3 linked regions of the Callithrix jacchus genome follow. The protein of the gene in region 1 purifies or fractionates together with the protein of each later gene. This does not show direct contact. Links are inferred from orthologs where the notes say so. Each region holds a gene or a part of one and is shown in the gene's direction. Other genes may lie near its edges. The genes, in order: CDC25B, CDK1 and FBXW11.

Region 1 (3,653 bases):
ACTCACTTTCCAGAAAGCCCGAGTCCTCCGCTCAAAATCACTGTGTCATGATGAGATCGAGAACCTCCTGGACAGTGACCACCGAGAGCTGATTGGAGATTACTCTAAGGTACCTGTGGCATCGAAGGAGTCTGGGGGGCTGGACCTGTTACTGACTAGGAACCCTCTAGCCCAGGGGCTGCTTGGGTTCCTCCCTCTCTCCCAGAGCCCCCATTTTCTTTGTCCTTTGTATCTTTTTTTTTTTGAGATGGAGTCTTGCTCCCATCCTGCAGGCTGGAGTGCAGTGGCATGATCTCAGCTCACTGCAACCTCTAACTCCTGGGTTCAAGCAATTCTCCTTCCTCAGCCTCCCAAGTAGTTGGGATTACAGGCATGTGCCACCATGCCCAGCTAATTTTTGTATTTTTAGCAGAGACAGGTTTTCGCCATGTTGGCCAGGCTGGTCTTGAAATCCAGACCTCAGGTGATCCACCCACCTTCGCCTCCCAAAGTGCTGGGATTACAGGCGTGAGCCACCACGTGGGTTGTCCTTTATATCTTTTTATCCTTTGTTCTTACACAGACTCCTCCCTCTGGCCCTCCTTGGTCCCCTGACTCTACCTCAAGTTACTCCAGCCATCTGTTGTATCTCCATCTTATTTCCAAGCTCATACCTAGCTTGGAACCCCCTCATGCCTCACCTGTGGGCTTGGCAGAGGGTAGGGAGCAGAGTGTGGGGTCCATCTCTTCCGCTTCCCTTTTTCGTTTTCCTTTCCCCTTGGAAGGTTGTTCCCTAGGTGTCAGACCCAAGAGGTGCTTCTCAGTTGCTATGGGAACCAGAGCTGAATTTGAAGGCCAAAGCAGGTGTGGCCTCTGGGCTTGAAAATGAAACTTCATCCTTTTCAGGCTCCTGGTCTTACCAATTTAACTTTCTCCATCCCTTCCCTTCCCTTCAGGCCTTCCTCCTACAGACTGTCGATGGAAAGCACCAAGACCTCAAGTACATTTCACCAGAAACGGTAAACAGCATTGCACTATTTTCTGGGCGCATTTAGGACTGCAGCTCCGTTGTTGACCTTCCCTGGGGACGGGCTGCATAGACTAGGCCAGAGGACAGGCTAGGGCCATCTGCCAGCTGCCATCCTGACCGACTCCCATGACCTCCTATAGATGGTGGCCCTGTTGATGGGCAAGTTCAGCAACATCGTGGAGAAGTTTGTGATTGTGGACTGCAGATACCCCTATGAGTATGAAGGTGGGCACATCAAGGTAAGGTGGGGAGAGGCCTTGAAGATCCCACCTGGTTTAGGTCCTTGCTTTGCTAAGAGAGTGAATGGAGGACGGGTACGCCCTCTCATGGGGAGTTCCTGACCAGTAAGAGGAGGACAGGGACTGCAGGGGGAGGAGCCTGCCTCCTGGGAGGGGCCCCGGGCTGTGCCTGACCTCTGGCTTCCTGGCAGACTGCGGTGAACTTGCCTCTGGAACGAGACGCCGAGAGCTTTCTGTTGCAGAGCCCCATCACACCCTGTAGCCTGGACAAGAGAGTCATCCTCATTTTCCACTGTGAATTCTCATCTGAGCGTGGGCCCCGAATGTGAGTCCCAGCTCCACCCAGCCAGCCAGTGTTTGCCCCAGCCTTCCCTGCCCAGGCTTACATGTGCTGGCACCATTGTGATGGCCAGGTGCTGTGGATGCCAGCAGAGCAGGTTCCAATGGAGACCTAACAGCACTGAACACTGGAAGGGTCAGGGTCACTGGAGACTGACACAGGGCCCTTAGATTTTGAGAAAGGCACTGCTAGAGACTTGGAACCAGATTTGCTGGACTGTCCCACCTGATGGCCTGGAGCTGACCTCAGCCCCTCTTCACTGTGCATGGTACCCACCTCCCTTCCCCCTCACAGTCCTGCCTATCAGGCCTCATGTCTGCAACCCCATCCTTGCCGCCACCCACCAGAAAATCTGGTTCCAAGTCTCTAGCAGTGCCTTTCTCAAAATCCAAGGGCCCTGTGTCAGTCTCCAGTGACCCTGACCCTTCCAGTGTTCGGTGCTGTTAGGTCTCCATTGGAACCTGCTCTGCTGGCATCCACAGCACCTGGGCCTCCCCAACCCTGGCTGAGCTCCTTCCATCTCTGTTCCTGCTCTGCCTGGCCATCCGTCCTCCCACCCTTACCTCTTCCTGGGTTGCCACTGGTCCATCTGACTGCTAGTGGCTCTCCAGCCTGGCCTCACCCATGTGCTGGGAATCTGCACCCAGATGCCCCTTACAGAGACCTCATCCCTGCTGCCCTCCCATTTTCTCCAGGCATCCCAGCACATGGCACCCACCTCTACCCAGGCACTGGGCCTGGGCACTGGCTTCAGTCTTGGGCCCTCCTCCTCCCTTCTCCCCACCACTGGTCCTCACTGGGTCTTATCCACGAGTGACCTGAATGGATCGCTTGAATTTGGCCCACTTGTCTCCTCTCCTGCTTTTCCTTTCCTGGTCCAGGCACAGATATCGCTAACAAAGATGGTGCAACTGTCTTCTAGAAATGGAGAGCCCATTCCCTTGATTTTACCTTCTTCCTTCCACCTCCCCCACCCTCTTCTGTATAGCCAGACTGATCTGAAAGTGTTCTTGTGGTTACATTCCTGTACTCAAAAGCCTTCTGTGGCTTCCCAGGGCCCTCAGAGGAGTGGATGTGGGGAATAGGTCCCATGATGTACAAGCCACTGCATGCCCCGCTCTGACCACACCCTGCCCGTGCCATCTCAGGTGCCGTTTCATCAGGGAGCGAGACCGTTCTGTCAATGACTACCCCAGCCTCTACTATCCCGAGATGTATATCCTGAAAGGCGGCTACAAGGAGTTCTTCCCTCAGCACCCGGTAGCGTGGGTGGCAATGCCACCAGCTCTGTGTGAGGGTTGGCTTGGCCATTCCCGAGCCCTGGGAAGCGGGGTGGGAGGGTTGGGTCCCTGCCAAGGTTACCCATTCCACTGCATTGACCCCTCTTATCCTGCCCTAGAACTTCTGTGAACCGCAGGACTACCGGCCCATGAACCACCAGGCCTTCAAGGATGAGCTAAAGACCTTCCGCCTGAAGACCCGCAGCTGGGCTGGGGAGCGGAGCCGGCGGGAGCTCTGCAGCAGGCTGCAGGACCAGTGAGGGGCCTGCATCGGTCCTGTTACCTCCCTTGCCTTTCAAGGCCTGGAGCCAGCTGCCCTACGGGCCTGCTTGGCTGAGGGCCTGCTGGAGGCCTCAGGTGCTGTCCTTGGGAAAGATGGTGTGGGTATCCTGCCTGTCTGCCCCAGCCCCGATTCCCCTGTTTCATCCCATCATTTTCCATATCCTGGTGCCCCCACACTCCTGGAAGAGCCCAGTCTGTTGAGTTAGTTAAGCTGGGTTAATACCAGCTTAAAGGCAGTATTTTGTGTCCTCCAGGAGGTTTTTCCCTTGTTAGGGTTAACCCTTCATCTTCCTGTGTCCTGAAAAGCTCCTTTGTATGTGTGTCAGCTGAGGCTGGGGGACAGCCCTGGTCCCCAAGGATGGGTCACAGCTAAACTCCTTCCTGGCCTGGGAGTCAGCTCTCTGCCCTGTGCATCTCCCAGGCCACAGCAGCCCCTAACCTCTGTAGGAACCATGGTATGTCTGCCATGTTGCCCCTCTCTCTTGTTCTCTTTCCTGTCCCGC
Region 2 (3,653 bases), on another chromosome or scaffold:
TTTTTTATTTTGTCTAGTCTGAGAGCATTTTGTAGTTCCCTTTGCATCGTGCTTAATATCCTTTTTAATTATTATACCATAGGTCCTTGAGAGCTGGATTTTTGTCTTGTTCACAACTGTTTGCCCACTCCTTGGCAGTAGTGCATAATACACAGGAGATACATGAATAGATAATAATAACAACTATTTTCCTTGTTTGTTCTTCTGAACTCTGTTGTTTCTTTTTCTGGCTTGGATTGTCTTTTCAACTCCAGTGCCTGATTGTTTTGGATTATGTTCTGGATATTATTTTGGAAAAATGAACTTGTGGAAATAATTGGAAGCCTAAATAATCCACACACAATTTTTTTTTTGTTTCTGCCAGGTATCTGGTTAAAGTCTAGTATTAAAGTACTGTTTTTAAAGTTATATTTTTTTCCCCTCAACTTTTCTTTTTGAACATTTCCAAATCTATAGATATACTGAAAGATTTATGCATGAACTTGTAATACTTTACGAAGATATTGGTGTTTTGTCATATTTACTTTATTTGTGTGTATGTTAACACAAATTTATTTTTTATTTTTCTCATTGACAGATTTTAATGGTACATATTTATGGGGTATGGTTTGGTGATTTGATACATGTATGTGTTGTATGATCCAATCAGAGTAATTAGCCTATCCATCACTTCATCATTTCTTTGTGGTGAGAACATTCAGATGTTTTGCGTTTTAATGCATTTCAAGTAAGTTGTAGAGATATTCTTCCCCTAAATCTGTGGGTATATTCTGAATATTTACCCAAGGTCATGCCTTTCATGTGGCAGTTAATACCTCTTTTAATTCTGAAAAGACAGTCTCTGCCTTTTCTCTCAGTTGACAGTGAGTCTTGACAACCTAATTCATTTCTTAAATACATCCAGACTTTTCTATTTTAAATATTACAAAAATTGTTCTCTGGCTTCTTCTGAATTACAGAAATCTGAGTGTTGTCATACTAATCCTTGAACTCCTCCTTCCTGTCTTAAGAAAATGTCTTTTTGGATCATGGAGTAGCTGTATCCATGGTAGTGAAACCTTACCCGGCATTTAGTAGGCGTTTGATAAATACTTACTTAAGGAAGTTCTTCTGCTTATGGGCCTCCATAACTTGATCATATTTTACATATTTTTTTATTTGTTTGTTTCCTGGGATAAGTCTTCTGGTAGATTTAGGCTGATCTCCTAGGCTTACCTGTGTTAATGATTTTTGCTTCCTTAGTTATTTATAATTAGTTAGATACCCTAGAGTATTTCTATCTTTGGAATTCTTAGTTCAGTTTGGAGCATATATGATGTATTTAAAAAATAATTTTGGATGATTAACCAATAGAATAGTTCTGCTTTGTTTAATCCCATTCCAGTAGTTCAGTGAGAAGTAATATTATCTCTAAAATTCAACACATTGATTGTTGGCCACTGGTTAATCAATTGTTAATTCTGAAAATTATTTAGGATTAGATGAGATTGTACACTTGAGGGAAAAGAAAGGGTGTTAGAAAAAAAATTAGTTCTGAATTTACCATTAACTGCTTATTTGACTGTATTTTGCAGGTGACTAATCTTCCCAAGATCTCTTTAACAGTATGCTAGATGAGTGTGCTACTCGTTTACCTACTTTTTGTGTTTAATGTGAGCTTAATTTATATCCAAAAAAGTATAGATTTTATGTGTATGAAGGTTACCTACTTTTAAGGATGGCTGTGAGGATAAAATATAGTCAGTTCTCCTTTAACAGAGTAATTTTGGTTATCAACAAGTTATACATTAATCCACAATTGAAATAATATAAAATGAATTTTATGTCAGTTTATAGTTTTAAAATGACATCAGTATTTAAGAAAACAGATTTTGTGTAGAGTCTCTGTCAAAAAATTAGAACAAAGCTTAAGTAACATCAATTTGCTACTGCTCAAAGGGCTTAATATTCTAACTAAGCAGTTGGTAATTTGCTGGTTGTTAGCCTTTTTTGAAATATTGGTACCTTCAGAGAAACTCATAAAAGCTATAGAAGAGGCCTTCTTCCTAATCACTTTTGAAGTTAAACCAATGCCATGGAAAGCAAAAGCCATTCAACAACATTTTATGTGTACTTAAGGAGTTCAGGATTTCCCTAAACTTCGACCCAATTTTACAAAGACTTACCTAGGGAATTCAGTGCTGCCACATATATGATGTATTTTAGACAGTCTTCTTGCTTATTGCCATTTCATTCCCTGTATTCACCTCCTCCCTCCCTACTGTCCCTTACAATTGACATTGCGCATTACCTGAAGCCAATATATCAAAATCAGTGTTTTCATCAACTTGCAAATGGGTGTGAGGCTTTCCTAATATATATAGTACATACTATGTGCTTTAATAGGTCTAATAAACAAACACCTGGTCTTTTATCTCCATTCTTTTGAGAATGAGGACTGTTTACTGTATTTTGAGATATAGATGAAAGTGTTATGAAAAGCATAAAACACTGCAGAATTTTCTAAAAGTATCATGGTGACTCTTATCAGTAGTATTTCATGAGCCCACATTTTTACACTATATTTTATGCCGACTTTATTGCTGGGTAGGATTTTGGCAGGAGGTTAATTTTAATTTGCAAATGATCTATTTTCTTCTGTAAAATATGCTGGAACATTAACGGTAATTTAAATGTATAGAAAACTTGTGATGACTACATGAATCATATTTTTAAGCCATACAGATTGTGGCAACTCTCAATTTCTTTTTGGAAGCAATGAGGGTATGAGTAAGATATTTCCCATCTGGCCATGCCAGACATTTCTATCATGTGACCCCTATGGGATTCAATAATCTTAAAATCTTAGTTTGACCAGGTATGGTGGCTCAGCACTTTTCAACGGTGAGTCAGGTGGATTGCTTGAGCTCATGTATTCCAGACCAGCCTGGGCAACATGGTGTGAAACCCCATTTCTGCCAAAAATTAACTAGGTGTGGTGGCATGTGCTTGTAGTTTCAGCTACATGGGAGTGTGAGGATCCCTTGAGCCCAGGAGGTAAAGGTTGTAGTGAGCTTTGATCGCCCCACTGCACTCCAACCTGGACAAGAGAACAAGAACCTGCCTCAGGAAAAAAAAAAAAAGATCTTTCAGTTTGTGGGTTGTGTCACACAGTGTATTATTTACTTTGTTTCAGGTACCTATGGAGTTGTGTATAAAGGTAGACACAAAACTACAGGTCAAGTGGTCGCCATGAAAAAAATCAGACTAGAAAGTGAAGAGGAAGGGGTTCCTAGTACTGCAATTCGGGAAATTTCTCTATTAAAAGAACTTCGTCATCCAAATATAGTCAGGTATGGAATGATATCTGAATGTAAGCCATTTTCTGCATGCTGTTTCAAATGTAAATTTCAACTTGGAAATCTTAACATTTGCTTAATTTCTTGATCTAGCTTTACTGAGTGGACTAGAACCCTACTATTTTTGTTAGCTGAGAATGCTGCACATATGTAAAATAGAATAGGCTGTTAAAGCAGGAACACAGTCACAGGAGCTTGGTGATGTAGATTAATATTTGAGACTGGAAAAGCAAGGTAAATTGGCCATGGGAATAAAGCCCTTTTTATAGAGCTTTGTCAACTCTCTCTTACTTAGGAGTTCTAGTCCTGAAGACA
Region 3 (3,653 bases), on another chromosome or scaffold:
AGTAATCACGACGGTGTGGTGCTGGCAACAGAATGGACAGCTAGATCCATGGAAAAGAATAGAGAGCCCAGAAATACATACCTTCACAAATATAGTCACCTGATCTTTTACAAAGGTAATACAATGGAGAAAAGATAGTCTCTTCAGCAATTGGGCAGAAGCAACTAGACACCATATTGCCTCCTTTACTCCCAAATAATACAGACACAGATCCTATATACTTCACAAAAATTAAATCAAAATGGATTAAAGGCCTAGATGTAAAACAGAAAACCATAAAATTTGTAGAATACAATATAGTAGAAAACCCACATGATCTTGAGTTTGTTGGTGACTTTTTAGATACAATGTCAAAGGCATGCTTCATTAAAGAAAGAATAAGCTGGACTTCATTAAAATAAAAAATTTCTGTTCTGTGAGAGACATTGTCCAGAGAATGAAAAAACAAGCCACAGACGAGAGAAAATATATGCAAAAGACATAGAAAGAGCTCTTGAATCTCAACAGTTAGAAAATTAATTAACCTATTAAAAAAAAAAAATAAGGCATAGACCTTAACAGACATGTCACCAAAGAAGATACACAGATGGCATATAAGCATGTGACAAGATGTTCCACGTAAGTCATCAGGGAAATGTGGATTATAACAATGAGACACCACTGCACACCTGTTAGCATGGACAAAATCCAGAACACTGACAACACCCAATGCTGGCGAGCATGTGGAGCAACAGGAACAGGAGCTTGAATTCACTGCTGGTGGAAATACAAAATGGTACAGCCACGTTGTAAGGCAGTTTGGCAGTTCTTACAAAACTAAACATACTTTTACCATATGATCCAGCAGTTGTGCGACTTAATATTTACACAACGGAATCAAAAACTTATGTCTACACAAAAGCCTGGACCCAGATGTTTATGGCAGCTTTGCCCATAATTGCCCAAACTTGGAAGCAACCAAGGTGTCCTTCAGTAGGTATATGGATAAATAAACTGTAGTACATCTAGACAACAGGGATAATTTTCAGCACTAAAAAGGAACGTATATCAAGCCATGAAAAGACAGGGAGGAAGTTTAAATGTGTATTACTATGTGAAAGAAGCCAATCTAAAAAGGCTACATACTGTATGATTCCAACTCTGTGACATTCTAGAAAAGACAAATCTGTGGAAGCCGTAAAAGAAGCGAGAAAAGGAACACTCAGGAGTATGAAAACAACTATTAATAACAATTTCCTTCCTTTAATCCTTTTTTCCTTTTCTGCAGTATATACATAGTCATTGTGTCACTTTATAATTTTTATTCTGATTTTTAAAAATGCTTAACTTTGTAATGAAGCATGATATTTTCTCATTAAAAACTCTTCATAGTTTACTTTGAGACTTTTATGAAATGTTGGACATTTTATTTTTGTAAACATAGGGGTATGCATTTTTAAAAGGTCTTAATAGTTATGTTGTCATGTTGCTTTCCAGAGATTGAGCCACTTCTTTATTTTTACGAGACATAAAATAAAATGGAAAAGCAGGGTCCTGCCTTGTCACCCCGGCTGGAGTACAGTGGTGTGATTGTGACTCACTGCAGCCTTGCCTCCTGGGCTCAAGCAATCCTGTCACCTTAGCCTCCCGAGTTGCTGGGACTACAGGCAGACACCACCATGCCTGGCTAATTAAAAAAAAAAAAAAAAACATATATAAAATTTGTGGAGATGGGTTTCCCAGGCTGGTATTGAACTTCTGGGCTCAAGTGATACTTCTGTCTCTGCCTCCCAAAGTGTTGGGATTACAGGCATGAGCCATAGCACCCAGCCAGTGAGTGACTTCTTTTCACAGATTTTATTTTTTAAAAGTTCCCTTTATGAGGCCATTGGTAAGTGTAATGAGATTAATAGCTAAGGGTTCAAATTAAACAAAATAGCACATCTATCCTAGTAGTTAACCACTATTGTCTGTATTCCTACTTGTTTCTTACCTGTTTGATATTCAATGTTTCTTATTTACTATAACCCAAGTATTTCATTTTATAATCAGAACATAAGGTGGGACAGTAATATTCATCAAAATATAGTATAATAATAAATCGTTGTTTGTGGCTAATCTTGTCTCAATAGATTTGGGATAAAACCAGCCTGGAATGTTTGAAAGTGTTAACAGGACACACAGGCTCTGTCCTCTGCCTGCAATATGATGAGCGTGTCATTGTAACTGGCTCTTCAGATTCTACAGTGAGGTGAGTGATCTGGCTTTGTTGATCTTGTAAGCCTTCCCTGAGAAAGTCTGTGATTGACATCCTCCTCTGGGAGAGGCATACATAAACTTTGCATACATTTTTACAGGCTGTGTTTCAAACTACTTTTGTTGTAGATATGTTTGAGCAAATTAGGCAAAACAGCTAATTTAAGAGTGTTGCTGTTCATTTTAGAGATGATAACATGCTTTCCTGTACGAGCACATACCAAGTATTAGTCTGGCTTTTTCCTTTTGGGAAACTGTGGTCCAGAGCAGAGAGGAGGAAGGCAGCTATTCTAGGAGTGTGGTGGGCACCACCTACAAATACTGAAAGACTCAAAAGCAGTTTGCAGAATCTTTTCAGCAACACCAGGAAAGTAAAATGTGAGAGCGGATAGTATACTCGGTACTCTGTATCATTTTATCAGTTCTCACATCAACCTTTCTGAAGAGGCAGATGTTACCTCCATTTTTGGAGTTGTATTAGGAAACCAAGACCAGAGAGATTAAATAATTTGCTCAGAGTCACAGAATTAATAAATTTTGAACCTTGAATTGATTCAAGTCATGACTGTATATGTAGCCTTGCCAGTAGTGGAAGCACTGATTTTCATTTGTCACTGAGTGGCAGAATGATGAAGATGAAAGTGGCAATGTTCTGCAGTACAAGGAAAGCAATGACGTTTGGGTAAGAGGTGAGCGAGTAGAAAGGGAACATTATTGATATCCATTCCTATACCTCTGGGATAAACGCATTTTTTTCACACCAGATGGGCTTGGGAGTTGGGTGTAGTGATGAGGCCATCAGAGCTGTAGGTCACACAGGAAAGCCTCAGCAAGACTACTGGTATCTGGAGGAAATGTGAAAGAGAAGGAAACAGCTCTTCTGGGTTGGGTCAGATATTTGAAGAGGATTGTTTTACAGGTACACGAGCCTAAGCGATTGGAATGGTCACTGAGTCTGTCTTTGGATACCCACGTTCTCCCCTTTTCACTCCTCTTTATGTTAGTTGTTGTTATTAGCCTCTCACTTCACTCCTGGACACTCTCACCACCCGTTTAAAGCACGCCTAGTATCCTCCTCTGGACTCATTGCTTCTGTACCACTGCTTCTGCCAGAGATTGTGTCTGAGCCTCAGAGGCCTGAGTCTTTTCTCCTCTGCCCTGTGTGAACTTGTCCTCTAAGGAAATGAGGGTTACAAAAAAGCCATGATGTGGAGGTGCTGCCCCCAAATCCCTGGATGTACAAAGCAGTTGCTAGATCCTGGCTTTGTCCATAAAGCAGCCGGATAAAGAAGTGGATGTGATGATTGATGAGGCATCATGACTTACCCAATTTGCAGTGGATAAATAATAGACTCAGAGGCCTGTCAGAGGTCAACAAGAACTGGAAGCTTGGAACTATTCTCACTTCTTCAGCTGTC

What was found.
Region 2: the proteins of CDC25B (region 1) and CDK1 purify together in Homo sapiens (affinity purification with western blotting; 4 studies listed by BioGRID). This does not show direct contact. The link is inferred for Callithrix jacchus from reciprocal best matches to the Homo sapiens genes CDC25B and CDK1.
Region 3: the proteins of CDC25B (region 1) and FBXW11 purify together in Homo sapiens (affinity purification with mass spectrometry; 14 studies listed by BioGRID and IntAct, counting the BioPlex papers as one, with this or other methods). This does not show direct contact. The link is inferred for Callithrix jacchus from reciprocal best matches to the Homo sapiens genes CDC25B and FBXW11.

Annotation. Positions count from the first base shown.
Region 1 is NC_133506.1:11,330,961-11,334,613, forward strand, and holds part of CDC25B (M-phase inducer phosphatase 2), read left to right. Parts: intron 1-13; coding exon 14-109; intron 110-935; coding exon 936-998; intron 999-1,149; coding exon 1,150-1,248; intron 1,249-1,439; coding exon 1,440-1,573; intron 1,574-2,736; coding exon 2,737-2,848; intron 2,849-2,987; coding exon 2,988-3,128; 3' UTR 3,129-3,653. UniProt on the Homo sapiens protein: Tyrosine protein phosphatase which functions as a dosage-dependent inducer of mitotic progression. Directly dephosphorylates CDK1 and stimulates its kinase activity.
Region 2 is NC_133513.1:69,669,359-69,673,011, reverse strand, and holds part of CDK1 (cyclin-dependent kinase 1), read left to right. Parts: intron 1-3,175; coding exon 3,176-3,332; intron 3,333-3,653. UniProt on the Homo sapiens protein: Plays a key role in the control of the eukaryotic cell cycle by modulating the centrosome cycle as well as mitotic onset; promotes G2-M transition via association with multiple interphase cyclins.
Region 3 is NC_133503.1:64,156,316-64,159,968, reverse strand, and holds part of FBXW11 (F-box/WD repeat-containing protein 11), read left to right. Parts: intron 1-2,111; coding exon 2,112-2,230; intron 2,231-3,653.